Linked DNA regions of Macaca fascicularis. The protein of the gene in region 1 purifies or fractionates together with the protein of each later gene. This does not show direct contact. Links are inferred from orthologs where the notes say so. Each region holds a gene or a part of one and is shown on either strand. Other genes may lie near its edges. The genes, in order: CNOT7 and TNKS1BP1.

Region 1 (8,823 bases):
GGGTATTAAGATGAATGAAAACAAACAGGTTTCATTCATGTCGTCTTGGAGTTTAGAATCTAAGTTAGACTGATATATTTAAATATTTATTAAGATACAAGATTTTATTCCATTAAATATCATTAGCTGTTTTCCTCATGTTCTAATCTATTTCAAGTAATAAGGAATAGTTTAGGAAGTTTATAAATCCTAAGTGCTAATATGATCTTAAACTTTTAATGTTAGTAAGCAGATGCCTTATAGGCTTCCTGTCAGAGGTCCTGTAAGGAAAAGTAGACGAGGGATGGATGTGTCTACGTGGCCTGGAAGTGTAGGGAGACAGAAAGCTGTGAAAAAAGGCCAAAGGGAGAAGAGGTCTGGATTTGAGAATGTAGGAGTTTGCATTTTATGATGAGGAGAGTAGTTATTTTTTTACTACCCTTCACTTCTTCCATGTGCAACATTTCCATTAATAATGACTCTTAGGGAGCCACACTGAGAGGAAGAGAATTGTGACGGAAGAGAGGGAGAGACTACTTAATAACATAGTCATTTAAGAGAAGTGAAAATACCTTGTTACAGTCTTATTCTTTGGATAATATATATGACCACCTTATGAAAAAGATGGGATGTCTTGCATTACTTTTGCCTATCGAATGCCAGTTGTCTTGCTACATTTGCTAACTCCTCTGGCCAAGTTTCCATACATCTTTATTTCTCCATTTCCATAGTTATTTAAAAAAGTATTTTGAGACATCTATGGGCAGCTTGATGCTCTTTTGGTGTTCTCAATTCAAATATCAACAAACTAGTATTTTCGTGACCACAGGCTTGGTTTGATAGTGTAGATCTGTGTTGATATCTCTGAATAATAAAGTGATAAAGTTCTTAATACTGTAAAATGACAGCATTTTCCCATTATAGTTCTCAATGTTTGTTTTCTCTGTTCTTGTGTGCACTTCTCTTTAATGTTTTTGGAAGGACTATAGTGTGACTTGCTTAAATTTGAATCAGATAAACTTTTTTTTTTTTAATCTTTATGGTATTTATGTGTCCCTCTTCTCTATTCTTTTAACCCTTTTATAGTGGTTACGACTTTGGCTACTTAATCAAAATCCTAACCAACTCTAACTTGCCTGAAGAAGAACTTGACTTCTTTGAGATCCTTCGATTGTTTTTTCCTGTAATTTATGATGTGAAGTACCTCATGAAGAGCTGCAAAAATCTCAAAGTAAGGCTTCAGGTGGCATTATCTATAGCAGCATGCTGTTCAGACCAAGGGACTGTCATGAGAGCCTAGGCTGGGATGTTGTTTTAAACCATATTTTACAGTATTACATTAAATGCAATTATATTATCTGGTCATGTGATTTTTTTTTCTTGCATACATGGTAATTTATAGGGAATTGTTTTTTCAGAGCTTCAGTATGTCTTGGCAGAAGGCAGAATATTCAACAGATTTCTAGCTTAGGTCAGATTCTTGTCATTGCTTGCCAGATTGAAAATCACAAACAAAAACAAACATCAGAGGACAGTGAGGCTCTCATATGCACACCAGTGTGAGTTCTTTCTTTCTCCCAGCACGCATAGAATATCTTCTTACAAGATAGAATCTAAGGTGGCCAGAGATGTGCAGATGTATTCAGTAATGTGGCAAAAGAGTTTTTCTTTCCTTTTGGCTTATCTTGGCTAGAAATTATTGTGTCAGTTCTAGTGATAGGATAATGTTCCTAGGATAAAACTACATAGCTAAAAGGTTCTTTTTCTGGCCAAAAGATGTCAGCTTCTTACAGTTAAGTATGATGGGAAATGTGTAGGTCCTGCCTAGATAGTAGTAACAGTCTGACGCTGCATAATGTGTATTTTTAAACTCTAAACATTAATTTTTTTGTTTTTGAGATGGAGTCTCGCTCTGTCACCCAGGCTGGAGTGCAGTGGGGTGATCTCAGCTCACTGCAACCTCTGCCTCCTAGGTTCAAGTGATTCTCCTGCCTCAGCCTCCTGTGTAGCTGGAATTACAACTGCCCATGACCACGCCCAGCTAATTATTGTATTTTTAGTAGAGATAGGGTTTCACCACGTTGGTTACACTGGTCTTAACAGATAAGATGAGAAGCTTTCTTTTGGCCAGTGTTTACCTTTAACAAGGGATATGGTCAGCATATGACTAGAGAAATTTTCAAGAAAGGTTAGTTTATGTTTGTAGCAGTAGACTTCTGTGTAATTTGAGGGGACTTCCAGTAAGTGAACTTGCAGTAGGGTGTCCCTTACTTGAGAAACAGTCCACCCTGTGAAAGCACACTGCATGCTGAGGCCTACATGTTTTCACTTGACTTTTTTTTTTTATTGACATGTCTGTATAATGACAGTTTTCAGGAACAGGGGACCAAATTATTGCTCGTTACGTGGTTGTTACTGGGAAGTTTCTAAGTACAGATATTCTCAATGTGTCCTGAGTAAGCTGCTATGTTAAAATTCAGGTTAACAACAAAGGTGCTTTTTGACCTATAGTCAGCCATGCTGTTCTATTCAGTTCTATTCTGTGTTCTCCTGAGCAGCTGCTAATGATACCTAATCCTCGTGCTATTTTTAGCACAGAAGCAACTGCTGTGTAAAGCATTGTTTCAAGCTGTGATGCACAGAAGGGCCATTTTGCTGGTGGAGGCCTTAACAATTTAGAGAAGAATTTTTGTTTTGTTGTTGGTGTTTCTTTACTTCACTCTCTATCCTCATTCTCCCCTCCCTTTACTCTCCTTCCCTCTCCTCCCACTTTCTTTCCTTCTGTTACTGTCTTTCCCTTCCTTTCTTTTCACTCTCATCTTTCTTTTTTAATCTTAGCAGTATTAACATAGGTGCATTATAGCAGACCACTCTAAGGAGTTGTGTGCATATACGCATCTTAACAAACAAAACCATAGTTAAGCATTTAGCATATTCTTAATGATTTGGTTATTCATAATGGCTTTGTTTTGTAAAAATTAAGTGAAAACTACAAATGGATGGTGGGAAGTTTAAGAAAATATGGAAACAATGGTGTTATACTAGCTATGCAGTTTTACAATTATTACAGGATTGATAGACCATGAGTGTACTTGATAAATATTACCCTATATATGGTCTGCTTCCCTCCCATATCTAGGAAAGTTATTTACTTGTCATACACCTTGAAACATAATGAAGATACATTTTCCCAATTAGGATCTTGTTTTCTATTAAATGATACTGTTTCCACATTCAACAAATACATTAGTAATTCACATTCTCTGTTTCTTCCCCCCAATCTTTATAAAATTCACCTTTACATACTAAAGTTTATTTTTATTTTGGTCAGTGTCTAAGTTTGTAATTTGTGAAAGTAGGCGTTGCAGTATTTTCCTCTTTGACAAGCAATTTTTATTTCTTCTAGGGTGGATTACAGGAGGTGGCAGAACAGTTAGAGCTGGAACGGATAGGACCACAACATCAGGCAGGATCTGATTCATTGCTCACAGGAATGGCCTTTTTCAAAATGAGAGAAGTATGAAGACATCACTGCCTTTTTCTCAGTTGGTTGTTAGGTTGAGAACATTAAAAATCTTATGGCCAAAGATTTTGGGCAACAAGTACCTACTAAGTAAAGATATATTTAGAGATACCATATGAGTCACATCCACTACACTTAAAAGTATTCAAAAATAAGTCATCTTGAAATGTAGTTCAGAAGGAACTGGGAGAACATGTTCATCATAGAACCAAAAATTTTAAAACATAAACTACCTGAGAAATCATGTAGGTCCAACCATATTATTTCTCAGGTGAGAAAACAGGCTAATAACTTCCATGATCAAACACATTACTAGTGGGAAAACTCCGGAGTTCTAACTCCCATTGGTGCTGCTTCTACAAGGCAAGGAATCTTTGTATTAGGTTTCTTCTAGCATGGCCCTCTTTTAGGCTTTAAATTGGTGATAAATATGTTATTTGCTCATGTCATTCTTCAGTGCTTTGAAGATTTTATAGAGAAGGACTCAGGCTTTTTACTGGATTGAGTCTTAAGAGGGGAGTTGAATTCTGAAGGGATAAAATAAATCCAACGTCCTAGTTGAATCAGAAACCCCATTAGGAAAACCCTCCTTAAATGGCAAAAGGCATGTTAGGTATGGAAGAATGGAACTTAATGAACCCATTATTCACTCTTAAGTAATTAAGTGATATGCACAGATACACCTAGCTATAGGTAAACAGGAAAATTGTGCAAAAACAAGTGAGGTTTTTCTTGGCTCTAAGTTTTCCTTTTTGCAAAAATTCTCTGTGGATTTGAGTATATTTTCTCTTAGACATGAAAGAATTGACTGAGACTGAGAATTTAAAAACTTTTTGGAGCAATGTATTGATAATAGAAAGCATTAAAGCTGTTTTGCTAAGTAGTGTTGATTCAGAAGTGATTTGGACTATCCATTCATGACACGTAAACATTTTGTTTTGGAGTCCTTCCCATTGTTTCATTAGATAATTGAAATAACCTTTTAGATTTTTTAGCTTTGCATTTTAAAAATGTCTTAATGGTTTATTTAACTAAAGGTGGATTTCTGGCACTAATTTATTTTTATTTTTCTTGGCTTCTTCAATGACAGTAAAGTAATAGAGTGTGAATGTTTGGATTTTACTGTCCATGACTTTACAGTTTATTTATAGCCAGCTCAGCCTTGCCTGTAGATTTAAGACAGCTTATGAACCTAAACTTTTTTTTCCCCACCATCATTGGCTTTCTTCATTCTTACTCGAGTATTGTTAATTAATGGAATAAATATTTATTTATCCACGATGACAAATTCTTATAAAAATGGTCTAAATGGAAAAGACATGCATTTGTACATTTTTTTCATAGTCTCTTACTTTGGTTTCTGAGCTCTGTACTTTTGAGGACATTAGTTTTACTCATTGAACTGAAATGTGTAGCCTCAAAGGAACACCATAGAAAAGAGCCATCATTATCTCAGTGAACAGTCAGTACTTACATTGCTGAAATATAAATTACAAGTGGTTCCCTTTGGTTAAAATTATCTTTTTTTTTCTTCAAAATTCCTTTTTAGATGTTCTTTGAAGATCATATTGATGATGCCAAATATTGTGGTCATTTGTATGGCCTTGGTTCTGGTTCATCCTATGTACAGAATGGCACAGGGAATGCATATGAAGAGGAAGCCAACAAGCAGTCATGACATGAAATAGTCTTTTTATTTTATTTTGAGCTACACACATGCTTGTATATAGGTTTTATCTCTGGTTGAATCCCTTGAACAATAGACAGTACCTTTCCCCCCCCCTTTCATGGCCCATTTTATTGTCTACCTTTCACTACTAAGTATGACCGTTCCTATCTCAGATCTTAATAAAAAACAAAACAAAACAAAAAACCAAAACAAAAACTCATTCAGGTTAAATTTGGCCTTAATTTAATATACTTGTTAGCAAGCGTGTGTGACAGAGAGTGGGGAAAGCTACATCACTGAATATTTTGATAAACTTTACCTACTTGAGTTTGGTTTATTTTTCCCTTTTCCTAAATTGACTAGCACTGACTGTAATTTATTTCCCTGTTTCATGTCTCTCTCTTCCATTCTGCAGGAGTTTTAGCTATTTGAGATTGTGGACCATCAGTTTTGCACTTTAGAGAGCGTTTCTGACTCAAAACCTCTGTTTTATCAAAAATTTTGTTTTTTCTTGATCTTAGCTGGAAAAATGACCATCTGCCACCTTGACACAGTATTTACTTGGTTTTGACTCACAGAATATAGCATATTCATTGTGCAAACTGTCGATTCAGCGAAACTAAAAAAAAAAGGACAAGAAACTACTGAGGAGCTTAGTAACTGCTGTTTCTGTACGTAGTGTTTAATCTTCCAAGCACATCTAGTGTCTGTCAGTTTCTAATTGGCATGTGTAGGCTGCTCTGTGACTGAAGAATTTTCAAACCAGCTTTACACCCTTCAGGAAAAATCCCTTGTGATTGGATGTTTAGTATCTGCCAGGAAACTGGTACTCAAGATGTTGAAGCTACAGTTATTTTATGATAGCACACTTCCCTTGATCTGCTTATTTTTATTCCATCACCATTTACCCTTGTCTTTTTTTAAAATTTTATTTTGTAGCCATACTTATGATGCTTTTGATTTGTTGGTTACACAAATCAATTTTATTAAAATCCAAAGATAACAAGTCTTTAGGTATATTTTGTACCAGATTAAATTAGAAGACAAAAATTGCGCTTTCATAGTTGCTACAAAGGTAAATAATGGAGAGATTTGGTACAAAACAACAAATTATATATATATATATATTCTCATATATATATATAGCTAATAAAATTACCTGAGGAGTGTAATGCTTGTTTATTTTTTTGTGTATATCTTTGCAATCTATTTTATATATATTGACAAAAGAGACTGTGAAATATTTAGCCATGCAGAATATGTGACCAGACCAGAGCATGTGTAGGAAGACTTTGGTAATCATTAACTGTACCCTGAAATGATGGACTACAAGTTATAATGTGTGTTACCTACACTTCAATCAGTAATATTAGCAAATCTTCAAATGTTAGTCACATTGGTTTGTCTCCCTTGTACATTCTTTATTCATGATATTACAGTGCTGTAACTGGGTGGTCCTTTTTAAACAAAACATTATTTGCAAAACAGAGGGTATTATTTGTTTTTAAAGCTTTTGTAAATAAAGGCTTCAAAATGTTTTCTTATAAATGTTGATGACTGGTGATTTTGTTTTGGAAATACTCATTTGGGGGATATTGTTCATTTTTATTTGGGCAACTCAACAGAATTCAGTAACTTCCTTCATTAACCCTAGATGATTATTAGTCCATTAATTGAAAAATCAGTCTGAGTTTTCTGCATTTCAAGTGTTGGCTTATTCTTGTTCTTTATGAGTACCTCAACTAGCTAAGTAAGGATTTCTATTTCTCCTTTCCAGGAATGCATTTATTCATAAGGATATACTTAAAAGGAAATACATCTGGTGTAACTGTGGCTCTTTAAAAAATCTAACACAATGTAGCAAGTTTCTGACTGGCTGCTTTTCATTTTGTCTTTGCTAAAAAGGAAGTGAAACTTCTTTTCGCTTGTGATTTCAGTGTTAGTTTTTATTGAGAAAACTAACATTTATAGTTACCTATTCTTTGAGAAATCAATGTGAAACCTTTTTAGTAGCCACATCGTTGCTCAATCTCATAACTTGTATCAGTTCTGGCTCTGTCCCTAAAAAGTATAGATAATCCCTAACTTAACTATCTTTCAACTTAATGATTTTTCAACTTTACAGTGGGTGTATTGTAACCCCATCAAAAGTTTAGGAGCTCCTTAGGACCTATGATGGGGTTACAGTTTCTACTGAATGTGTATTGCTTTTGCACCATCGCAAAGTCAAAGTTTGTAAGTTGAACCATTGTAAATTGGGGGACTGTATGCTGTTGTCTGCATTAAATGAATGTTAGTATTTTTTCAGATGTAACCTCATTGTAGGTTGAGTACCTGTATAGTATTTTATAACTTCTGTAGAGGAACATTTTGACTTTTACTGGGTCTAAGCTTTACTTTATTTTGTTCCAGACAGTCTGAATGTTTGTAGAGTCTAGGTTTTAGATGTAAGATATTTGGATAATTTTTTTAGTGTTCCTGAACCATTAATTACAGACTCATACAGTCTGTTAAGTCTACTAGAGCAAGGGTTGTCAAACTATGGCCCGCAGCCAGAATCAGCTTGCTGCCTGTTTTTGTGTGGCCCATGAACTGAAAATGGCTTTTAGTTTTAAGTGGTTGGGAAAAATATTCAAAAGATTATTTCCTGACATCAGACAATTACATGAAATTCAATTTTTAGTGTCTATAAGTTTTTATAGGAATGCAGCCACAATCATTTACATATTATCTATGGATACTTTTTTGCTATAATGGAAAAGTTGAGTAGCTGCTACAGAACCTGTTTAAGTCTGTCTTGTTTCACATTGCTGCTTGGCAAGCTACAGAATCATGGTGATGCAGATATAACCTGAAAGCATTTAGAATGCCCTGTGTATTGCTAGATTTGTTACTTTTTCTGCTACCAGTTCATGCCCTGTATCTCAGAACAAGAAAAGTACACTTTGATATGTTTTCAAGGCACACTAGAATATGGACTATTTTATTATATAGTGGTATGTTACGTTTATAATGCAATGACACTGTAACTGGTAAAAGAAGATTGACAGTATCAGACTAACAAACATCACAATATTCCCAACTCGTGGAAAACAAGAGTCAGAAGAATTAGAAAATTTAAATGAAACATCATAGAATTTCACAAAATAAAAATGAGGCTGCAACCAAAATGTTTACAAGTGGCCAATTTGTTAGCCAAGCAAAGAAAACCATTTACTAATGCTGAATTATATCATGCTTGAAGACTAACCAACCCAAAGAAATGTGTCCAGAGAAAATTAAGATATCAGCCTTTTGATAACAGTCGTTTGAAGAATGAGGATTTTGGACACAACATCAAATGATACCATTAATTCTTTGCCTCTTACTAGTCAGTACTGCCTAGCTTTATTTTATGAGAAACCATTGCTGGATTTGAAGTGACTGAAGAATTTATGGAACTACAAGTGGGAATATTTTCAAAAAAGTTGAGAAACAGTACGACCTGAAGTGGAATCTACTAAGATGTGATGCAACTGATGCTGGGAAAAAAATGCATGGAGCAGGAAAAAAGTTTATTTGGTCAAATTTATAAAGCTTGTGAAAATGTAAGTTGTTTAAAGCCTATAGCTCTTCACTTGATTATGCATCAGCAGGTAGTTTGCAGGAAATA
Region 2 (8,823 bases), on another chromosome or scaffold:
CCTCCGCCCCACCAGCCTGGTTCAGCGCCGATTCTCTGAAGGTGTGCTCCAGTCACCCAGCCAGGACCAGGAGAAGCTGGGGGGCTCGCTGGCTGCCCTGCCCCAAGGCCAGGGGAGCCAGTTGGCCCTGGATCGTCCCTTTGGAGCAGAGTCCAACTGGAGCTTATCACAGTCCTTCGAATGGACCTTCCCCACGCGGCCCTCGGGTCTGGGCGTGTGGCGGCTGGACTCCCCGCCTCCCTCCCCCATCACTGAAGCCAGTGAGGCTGCTGAGGCTGCTGAGGCTGGCAACTTGGCTGTTTCCAGCAGGGAAGAAGGAGTGTCTCAGCAGGGGCAAGGGGCCGGGTCAGCTCCAAGTGGGTCAGGAAGGCCTAGTTCCTGGGTGCAAGGGGATGATCCAAGCATGTCCCTCCCCGAGAAGGGCGATGGGGAGAGTCAACCTCAATTCCCAGCTGTTCCCCTTGAGCCCCTACCTACAACTGAGGGCTCACCTGGGTTACCTTTGCAGCAGGCAGAGGAGAGATACGAGTCGCAGGAGCCCTTGGCTGGACAGGAGTCCCCTCTCCCCCTGGCTACCAGGGAGGCAGCTCTGCCCATCCTGGAGCCGGTCCTGGGGCAGGAGCAGCCAGCACCCCCTGACCAGCCCTGTGTTCTCTTTGCTGATACCCCTGAGCCTGGGCAGGCACTGCCTATCGAGGAGGAGGCCGTGACCCTAGCCCGGGCCGAGACCACCCAACCCAGGACAGAGGCTCAAGACTTGTGTAGGGCATCCCCCGAGCCTCCGGGCCCTGAAAGCAGCTCCCGCTGGCTGGACGACCTCCTGGCTTCACCACCACCTAGTGGTGGCGGTGCAAGACGGGGAGCTGGATCTGAGCTGAAGGACGCACAGTCCCCAAGTACCTGCTCTGAGGTGAGAAGGGGCATAGGGAGAGTGGGACTTCTGGGGACAGAGGCCAGGGCTTGGGTGGGCTTCATTCTTTGAACATGGATTTTACGTGTTGAGAGCTTGGGCTGTGGTAGCAAGCAAGGCAGCTGTGGACCTGCAGATCGTAGCTCTGCAGAACCGCACAGGACGGTGTGTGGGGTTTCGTGTGAGGCTGTATCCCAGCTTCAGCATTCGCTAGCTGATTGGTCTTGGGAAGAATGTGCCTTAACTGCTAAGCTTCAGAGTGCTTTCATGATAGTAGCGCCGGCCTCTTAGAGTTATATTGTGGGTAAACAAGAGGGGGAAAGCTCTCAGTACAGTGTGTGGCAGGTGCTGAGTATTCAGTCTCTCATTATGGGAATATTGTTCAAGGCAAAATAGTGTAGCCATTTAGAGCGTGGGCTCCTGGGTTGGTCTCCTGGCTCTGCTTTCCTTTGCCCAGGTGTGACCTTGAAAGAGTGACGTTTCTGCCCTCTGCCTCAGTTTCCACATCTGTAAAATGCGGATAAGATGAGCTCTACCTCCAAGGGTGTTGGCAAGGGTTCAATGAGCTGTAATGTCTAAAGTGCTAAGAATAGTGCCTGGTTCATCCTAAGTGCTTAATACGTGTTGGCTTTTACAAACGTTATTAACATTGAGCTCCAGACCTGCTTTGTAGACAGGCAGCTGGGCCTCAGAGGAGGCGAGCCTTGTGCAGTTACCCAGCAAGTTGGTGGCTGGGCCCGGGCCAGCGCCGTTTCCCGGCCCAGTGCCCTTTCTCCTACCAGGCTGCCTCTGAATTTAAGGGCCGGGGGCCAGGTGGCTTTTGAAATTTATTTCTCAAGCCGGGCCTGGGCTGTAAGGGGCGGGGCTGCAGGAAAGGAGGAGCCAGGGGGCCTCTGGAGGCTAGGGGGCGGGGAGGAGGAGGAGCAGGAAGGGGTTAAGCTGACTCCTGCAGTAGGTGTGTCTGTCCCGGGATGTGGGTGACTCAACTGGCTCCTGGGCGGGGCTGCCCAAGCTGCAGCTGCTCCGAAGGGAGCAGGGCCAGGGTGAGGGAGAGCCAGCGCTGCCAGAGCCGTCGGACAGGTCCCAGCGTGGGGAGCAGCCCAGCCCTATCCCTGCGCCCGGCTGGCCGCACCCAGTAGCCCCGAGGCGGGCGGGGGGCGGAGGGCCATGGCCCAGCCTGGGGACGGGGAGGCCAGCATGTCTGTCCTGGAGCGGCTACTGGCCAACGCTGCGCTGAGGGATGAGGCTGGCCGGCTCCGAAGCCCTGAGCCCAGGGCTCTCCCGCCCACGAGGGTGAGTCAGGGAGCGTGAGGTGGGGGTTGGGGTGCAAGAAGCCCTGGCTGGGATTTTCCCCTGTGCGAGAAGCTGCCCCTCCTGTCTTTCCTGGGCCGAGGTGAGGGCTGAGAGGTCTTCCTGGGGAGGATTGAGCAGACGGCACTTTGGCTGGGGACGAAGGGGCTGGGTACTTACAGGAGGATGGGGGTCAGGTGGGGCGTGGGGGAGGATGGGCTGGAAAAGCTCTCACTGGTGTTGGAACCTTGCCTTGCAAGGGAGGTTGCAGAGAGGCTTTGAATCTTGACCTCTCCTAATCAAAAGGAAAGTACGTTGCCCGCCATTCCTGTGTGAAGACCACTCCTGGCTGTTAGCCGAGTATTGCCCAAGGGTTGTAAACATGACCATGGGACCATCGATTGAGTGCCCACTGCATGCCAGGCATTATGCCGAGTGCTTGGTCTGAATGATTTCGTTTAATCCTCTCACACCGGCCCCACGCAGTAGGAATTATCTTCATTTAAGGATGAGGACGCTGAGGCCCCGAGTGGTTAAGTTATTTGCTCAAGGTCACACAGCTTTCTGTGGCCAAAGTGGGGCTTTCAGGCACTAGGCAGTGCTGACTCTGCTGGATTGACTCCCACCCCGATTGAATCTAATCGTTGTTTCTTTGTCTGTTTTTTTTCTTATTCCCAGGGACTCCTTGGCTGGTCCCAGAAAGATCTGCAGAGTGAATTTGGGATCACAGGAGACCCACAGCCCAGCAGTTTCAGTCCTTCCAACTGGTGTCAAGGTGCTTCTCAGGACTATGGCCTTGGGGGTGCAAGCCCTAGAGGAGACCCAGGTCTCGGAGAGAGGGACTGGACCAGCAAGTATGGGCAAGGAGCTGGGGAAGGGAGCACCAGGGAGTGGGCCAGCAGGTGTGGCATCGGCCAGGAGGAGATGGAGGCCAGCAGCAGCCAAGACCAGAGTGAAGTGTCTGCCCCAGGGGTGCTCACAGCCCAGGACCGGGTAGTTGGAAAGCCAGCCCAGCTTGGCACTCAGCGGAGCCAGGAGGCAGATGTTCAGGACTGGGAGTTCAGAAAGAGGGATTCCCAGGGCACTTACTCCAGCCGGGATGCGGAACTCCAGGACCAGGAATTTGGGAAGAGAGATTCACTGGGTACTTACAGTAGTCGAGATGTAAGCCTTGGGGACTGGGAATTTGGGAAAAGAGATTCTCTGGGTGCTTATGCCAGCCAAGATGCCAACGAGCAGGGTCAAAATTTGGGGAAGAGGGACCACCATGGCAGGTACAGCAGCCAGGATGCCGATGAGCAGGACTGGGAGTTTCAGAAGAGAGATGTGTCACTTGGCACCTATGGCAGCCGGGATGCAGAGCCGCAGGAACAGGAGTTTGGGAAGAGCGCTTGGATAAGGGACTACAGCAGTGGTGGCAGCTCCAGGACCCTTGACGCCCAGGAAAGAGGCTTTGGAACAAGACCCTTGAGCTCTGGGTTCAGCCCCGAGGAAGCCCAGCAACAGGATGAGGAATTTGAGAAGAAGATTCCAAGTGTGGAAGACAACCTTGGAGAGGGCAGCAGGGATGCTGGCCGGCCAGGACAGAGAGAATCAGGGGGCTTGTTCAGTCCTAGCACTGCCCACGTGCCGGATGGGGCACTCGGGCAGAGAGACCAGAGCAGCTGGCAAAACAGTGATGCTAGCCGGGAGGTGGGAGGGCATCAGGAGAGACAGCAGGCAGGGGCTCAGGGCCCTGGCAGTGCTGGCCTGGAAGATGGGGAGATGGGGAAGCGAGGCTGGGTCGGTGAGTTTAGCCTCAGTGTTGGCCCCCGGAGAGAGGCAGCATTTAGCCCAGGGCAGCAGGACTGGAGCCCGGACTTCTGCCTCGAGGCCAGTGAGAGGAGCTATCAGTTTGGCATCATTGGCAACGACAGAGTGAGTGGTGCTGGCTTTAGCCCTTCTAGCAAGATGGGAGGTGGTCACTTTGTGCCTCCTGGGAAGACCACAGCTGGCTCGGTGGACTGGACTGACCAGCTGGGTCTCAGGAACTTGGAAGTATCCAGCTGTGTGGGTTCCGGGGGCTCAAGTGAGGCCAGGGAGGATGCCGTGGGACAGATGGGCTGGTCAGGCGGCCTGAGCTTGAGAGACATGAACCTGGCCGGCTGTTTGGAAAGTGGAGGGTCTGAAGAGCCCGGGGGAATTGGAGCTGGGGAGAAGGACTGGACTTCTGATGTGAATGTGAAGAGCAAAGATTTGACTGAGGTCGGGAAAGGAGGAGGCCACAGCCAGGCCAGAGAGAGTGGCGTGGGGCAGACCGACTGGTCAGGTGTGGAGGCCGGAGAGTTCCTTAAATCAAGGGAGCGTGGAGTTGGACAGGCAGACTGGACACCTGACCTCGGGCTGAGAAACATGGCCCCAGGGGCAGTCTGCAGTCCTGGAGAGCACAAAGAGCTTGGGGTGGGCCAGATGGACTGGGGTAACAATCTGGGCCTGAGGGATTTGGAGGTGTCCTGTGACCCAGAGTCTGGAGGTTCTCAGGGGCTACGGGGATGTGGGGTGGGGCAGATGGACTGGACCCGGGACTTGGCTCCCCGGAATGTGGAGCTCTTTGGGACTCCGAGTGAAGCCAGGGAGCATGGGGTGGGCGGGGTCAGCCAGTGCCCAGAGCCCAGCCTGAGGCACAATGGCAGCTTGTCCCCTGGCCTGGAGGCCAGAGACCCCTTGGAGGCCAGGGAGCTGGGGGTTGGTGAGACAAGTGGGCCAGAGACCCAGGGTGAAGATGACTCCTCGTGTTCCTTGGAGCCACACCCTGCAGACCGTGGAATGGAGACAGGAGAAGCCCTCAGCTTCGGAGCCAGGTAACGAACGGAGCCCCCTCCCAAGTGTGGGAGGGAACATGTGAGGGTTATCCAAGAAATTGGAACCTTTCTGAGGAGGGAAGAAACAGTTTTTCCTGAGGACTTTTAGTGTTTGGAAGATTGAGACATTTTAGACTAAGAATTTTTAATTCTACTTAAAAAATTGAAATACGATACACATACAGGTGAGTTCTTTTTGGGAAGGATGACTAATGTGTTACTTTTGCAACCCATGTTTGAGCTTTCTTGGTGATTTAGAATTGTGACTGTGATGGGGAAATGGTGCGTGTCATAGCTTGGATGGTTTCTGGTGGGTTCTACTCTTGTACACAGTAGCCGTTCCGCAGGCCCCTCAGCCCTGAAGCCACAGGTGGTTTCATAGGTGTAGGGCAGAGAATTCTGTCTCTTCTTGGCTGGGGCCACCACAGCCAGGAGTGGAGTGGACAGTGGCACCCACGGGTTCTCAAAGAGGTTAGGGACTTTGTGCTTCTTGCCTGTCATGAAGCCTGGAATAGCACGTTCAAGAACCTGAAGGGTATGGGGACCTGGCCCCATGACTTTGGCCTCTATGTGCAAAGTTGCTGAAAGAACTTTCCAAAGGCTTTGCAAGCCAACCACAATCTGTTTCATGGATGTTTTAAAACCAGCTGAGATGATTTTGCAGCTGAGAAAGGTGCTAAAAAGGCATTGCATCCGTTTTGTTAACATTTGCATCCATTGAGATTCGCTTTTATTCCCTTCAGTGAGTAGCACATGTTTCCTTTTCCAGCCCACAGTGGGAGCGTCTCACTGGGTATGTGGGGAAGGCAAGGGAAGTGTGGGGGTGGGGGCTTTTATAAGTGGAAGGGGTTGGTGATGGGAGGAGAGGAGCAGGAAGGGGCTAGAGAGCATCATGGTGGTCTTGGGGAGTCAGAGAGGCATTTGGGATGGAGGAGAAGGAGGGAGAGAGGAAGGTGGGCCCAGGGAGATGCCCAGGGGGGTTTGAGGAAGGGGAGCTTCCTGACGACTCAGGCTGTTGAGGGGGTGGTGATGGAGCACAGGGAACCACTGAGGCTGCATTGAGGACTGCAAGGAAGAGGGGAGGGTGCAGGACTAGGAGTCGGGAGGCCCTTGTGGTCCTGGGCAGGTTGCTGGGCTCTGAGCCTCAGTTTCTCAGGGTTTGACTCAGAAAGTGCAGAGTTCCAACTTTAATGTTCCTGGTGCAGGGGAGAGTCCAGGCTTGGCGTGGTTATTCCTGATTTCTCTTCCTGGGACTCATAGACCTTTGCACGCCCCATGCTTAACCACACATCTTACCTCATTGATCTTCCCAGCTGCTCTGTGAGGCAGGAAAGGGATTTTTATCCTCTCCGCTGGCAGGTGGAAAGGTGGTATGACACCTTAAGGGCAAAGAGTCGGGAGTACCTCTTTCTCACTTGCTTATGTTAACTGCTTTCAGGTGTGGCCGCTGTGGGACCCACAGCTCTCTGCCTTTCCCTTCTGTGTGGGGTGGCTCTTGAGAAGTGGAAAGTGATCATCTTGTTCCCTTAGTTTAGGATAGAGGGAGGTGGGGCCGGGATTGTGGTGGAACTAGGTTAGGGGAAGAGGAGGGTAGCGTTGGAGAAGCAGGGAAGCACTCAGCTCTCCGAGCTTTGGTCTCATTGTGCCTTTAAAGCACCCAGGCTTTTGTGGTTGTGTTACCATAATCTGGTCAGTGTTGACTTTAACCCGAGTTCAGGGGTTAGCCGTGGTGCCATACAGGTGAGCCTCATTGTATGCAACAGAAAGCGCGGCTCCTCAAAAGCCGAATGGAAACAGTTGCTTTAGAGAGGAGTTCCAGGGGCTTGTTTGAATTTTATGCTTTCGGGCAGCCTTTTCTGAAATGTGTCCTAAAAAATACCAGTCTGTGAATATGTTTGGAAAATGCTGGGTACTCTATGGCCATACAGAAGACTTAGTCTGTATATTAGCATATATTAGTACCTTAAAGACAAGTAATGCACTATTTTCCAAACTAATTTGGCTAATATCCAAGAGCCTAGTGTTCTGAGCAGGGAAATTCTGATGTAGGGAAATTCTACACTATGGGCACTTTCTCTTTTTTTTTTTTGATGGAGTCTCGGTCTGTCGTCGCCCAGGCTCCCAGCCTGAAGTGCAATGGTGCGATCTCGGCTCACTGCAACCTCTGCCATCTGGGTTTAAGTGATTCTCCTGCCTCAGCCTCCTGAGTAGCTGGGATTACAGGCATACATCACCACGCCTGGCTAATTTTTGTATTTTTAGCAGAGACAGGGTTTCACCATGTTGGCCAGGCTGGTCTTGAACTCTAGACCTCATGTGATCTGCCCACCTCGGCCTCCCAAAGTGCTGGGATTACAGGAATGAGCCACCATGCCTGGCCCACTATGGGCACTTTGTCTTTAAAGAAAATTTTGGAGGTTCCCTTTGTAATGAGAAGTCCTTGAGAATAGCTCAGAGGGGTCTGGCTTTAGGTCCATCTGCCAGGCTTGCGCTCTGATTCTGTCACCACCTCTGTGACCTTGGGCAAGTTTGTTCTCTTCTGCAGGCCTCCGATTCCTCATATGTAAGTTGGGAGTAACTTACACCCAGTACTCACGGGGCTTTGTTGATTAGTCCTCACAAAAACTAGGGAAACTGAGACGCAGAGAGGCAGTGTGGCTGGCACCAGTTCCCGCGGCTGGTGGCTGTGGGTTTTTCTTGTCCCCCTGGGCCCAAGCCTTGCAGTCCTCTGTGGCCATCCTCCCTGTCTCTTTGGGGTCAAGGTCAGCTGCTGTTTCTCTAGACAAATCTTTCCAGCTTCACTCCTCCCTCATTTCAGGCTTCAAAACACTGGGATATTCACGTTTTGTAGTTCCAGCACCATGTTTGCCTCTGGAACGGTGGTGGAGGGTGGGGTGGGATACGGTCTTGGTCCTCAGGGTACTCTAAAGTTTAGATCAGGTGAAGGGTGTAGATGCGACAAGATGAGGCACATCCTCTCTGGCCAGGGACCTGTGTTGATGATAATGACTATCCTAATTGTTGTATTTATCAAGTGCTAACTATGTGTTAGGCACGTATTTCTGCCAACAAACTGGAACAGTTCATGTACTTTTATTACCCCCATTTTACAGATAAAGAAACTGAGGTTCAGAGTGGGACAAGTAACTTGTGGTCAAAGCCACAGGCGTAGGAGGAGACAGAGCCTAGCTGTGTCCTGGAGGGGCAGGACTCAGCCCCTGTGTTCCTAACTACCCCTCTTTCCTGCCCCCATGCCGGGAGGGGCTCAGCTTGTACGTGATCCGGGCGCTTCGGGGTAGAAAAGCTGCTTCTAAGATGAGGTGAAGGGCGAGTGGGGTTTAGTCCGGCTGGGTGGACGTAGCTGTACTTCCTTGGGCTCTCCCCACTCGCCACTCTCCACTCCTCAGGGCTACCTCCAGAGCCCACTGACCTCTGCCTGAATGGCTTGGGCCAGCTCTCGGTTTAGAAGTGGATTTTTTTTGTTGTTTTTGAGATGGAGTTTTGCTCTTATTGCCCAGGCTGGAGTGCAATGGCATGGTCTTGGCTCACTGCAACCTCCACCTCCTGGGTTCAAGCGATTCTCCTGCCTCAGCCTCCTAAGTAGCTGGGATTACAGGTGCCTGCCACCACGCCGGCTAATTTTTGTATTTTTAGTAGAAATGGGGTTTTACCGTGTTGGCCAGGCTGGTCTGGAACTCCTGACCTTAGGTGATCCGCCTGTCTTGGCCTCTCAAAGTGCTGGGATTACAGGCGTGAGCCACTGCGCCTGGCTGGAATAGATCT

Evidence for each region.
Region 2: the proteins of CNOT7 (region 1) and TNKS1BP1 purify together in Homo sapiens (affinity purification with mass spectrometry; 4 studies listed by BioGRID and IntAct, counting the BioPlex papers as one, with this or other methods). This does not show direct contact. The link is inferred for Macaca fascicularis from reciprocal best matches to the Homo sapiens genes CNOT7 and TNKS1BP1.

What each region holds. Positions count from the first base shown.
Region 1 is NC_088382.1:20,246,579-20,255,401, reverse strand, and holds the end of CNOT7 (CCR4-NOT transcription complex subunit 7), read left to right. Parts: intron 1-1,065; coding exon 1,066-1,210; intron 1,211-3,385; coding exon 3,386-3,496; intron 3,497-5,051; coding exon 5,052-5,180; 3' UTR 5,181-6,719; downstream 6,720-8,823. UniProt on the Homo sapiens protein: Has 3'-5' poly(A) exoribonuclease activity for synthetic poly(A) RNA substrate. Its function seems to be partially redundant with that of CNOT8.
Region 2 is NC_088388.1:16,304,912-16,313,734, forward strand, and holds part of TNKS1BP1 (182 kDa tankyrase-1-binding protein), read left to right. Parts: coding exon 1-910; intron 911-1,950; exon of another isoform or gene 1,951-2,077; coding exon of another isoform or gene 2,078-2,203; intron 2,204-2,878; coding exon 2,879-5,040; intron 5,041-8,823.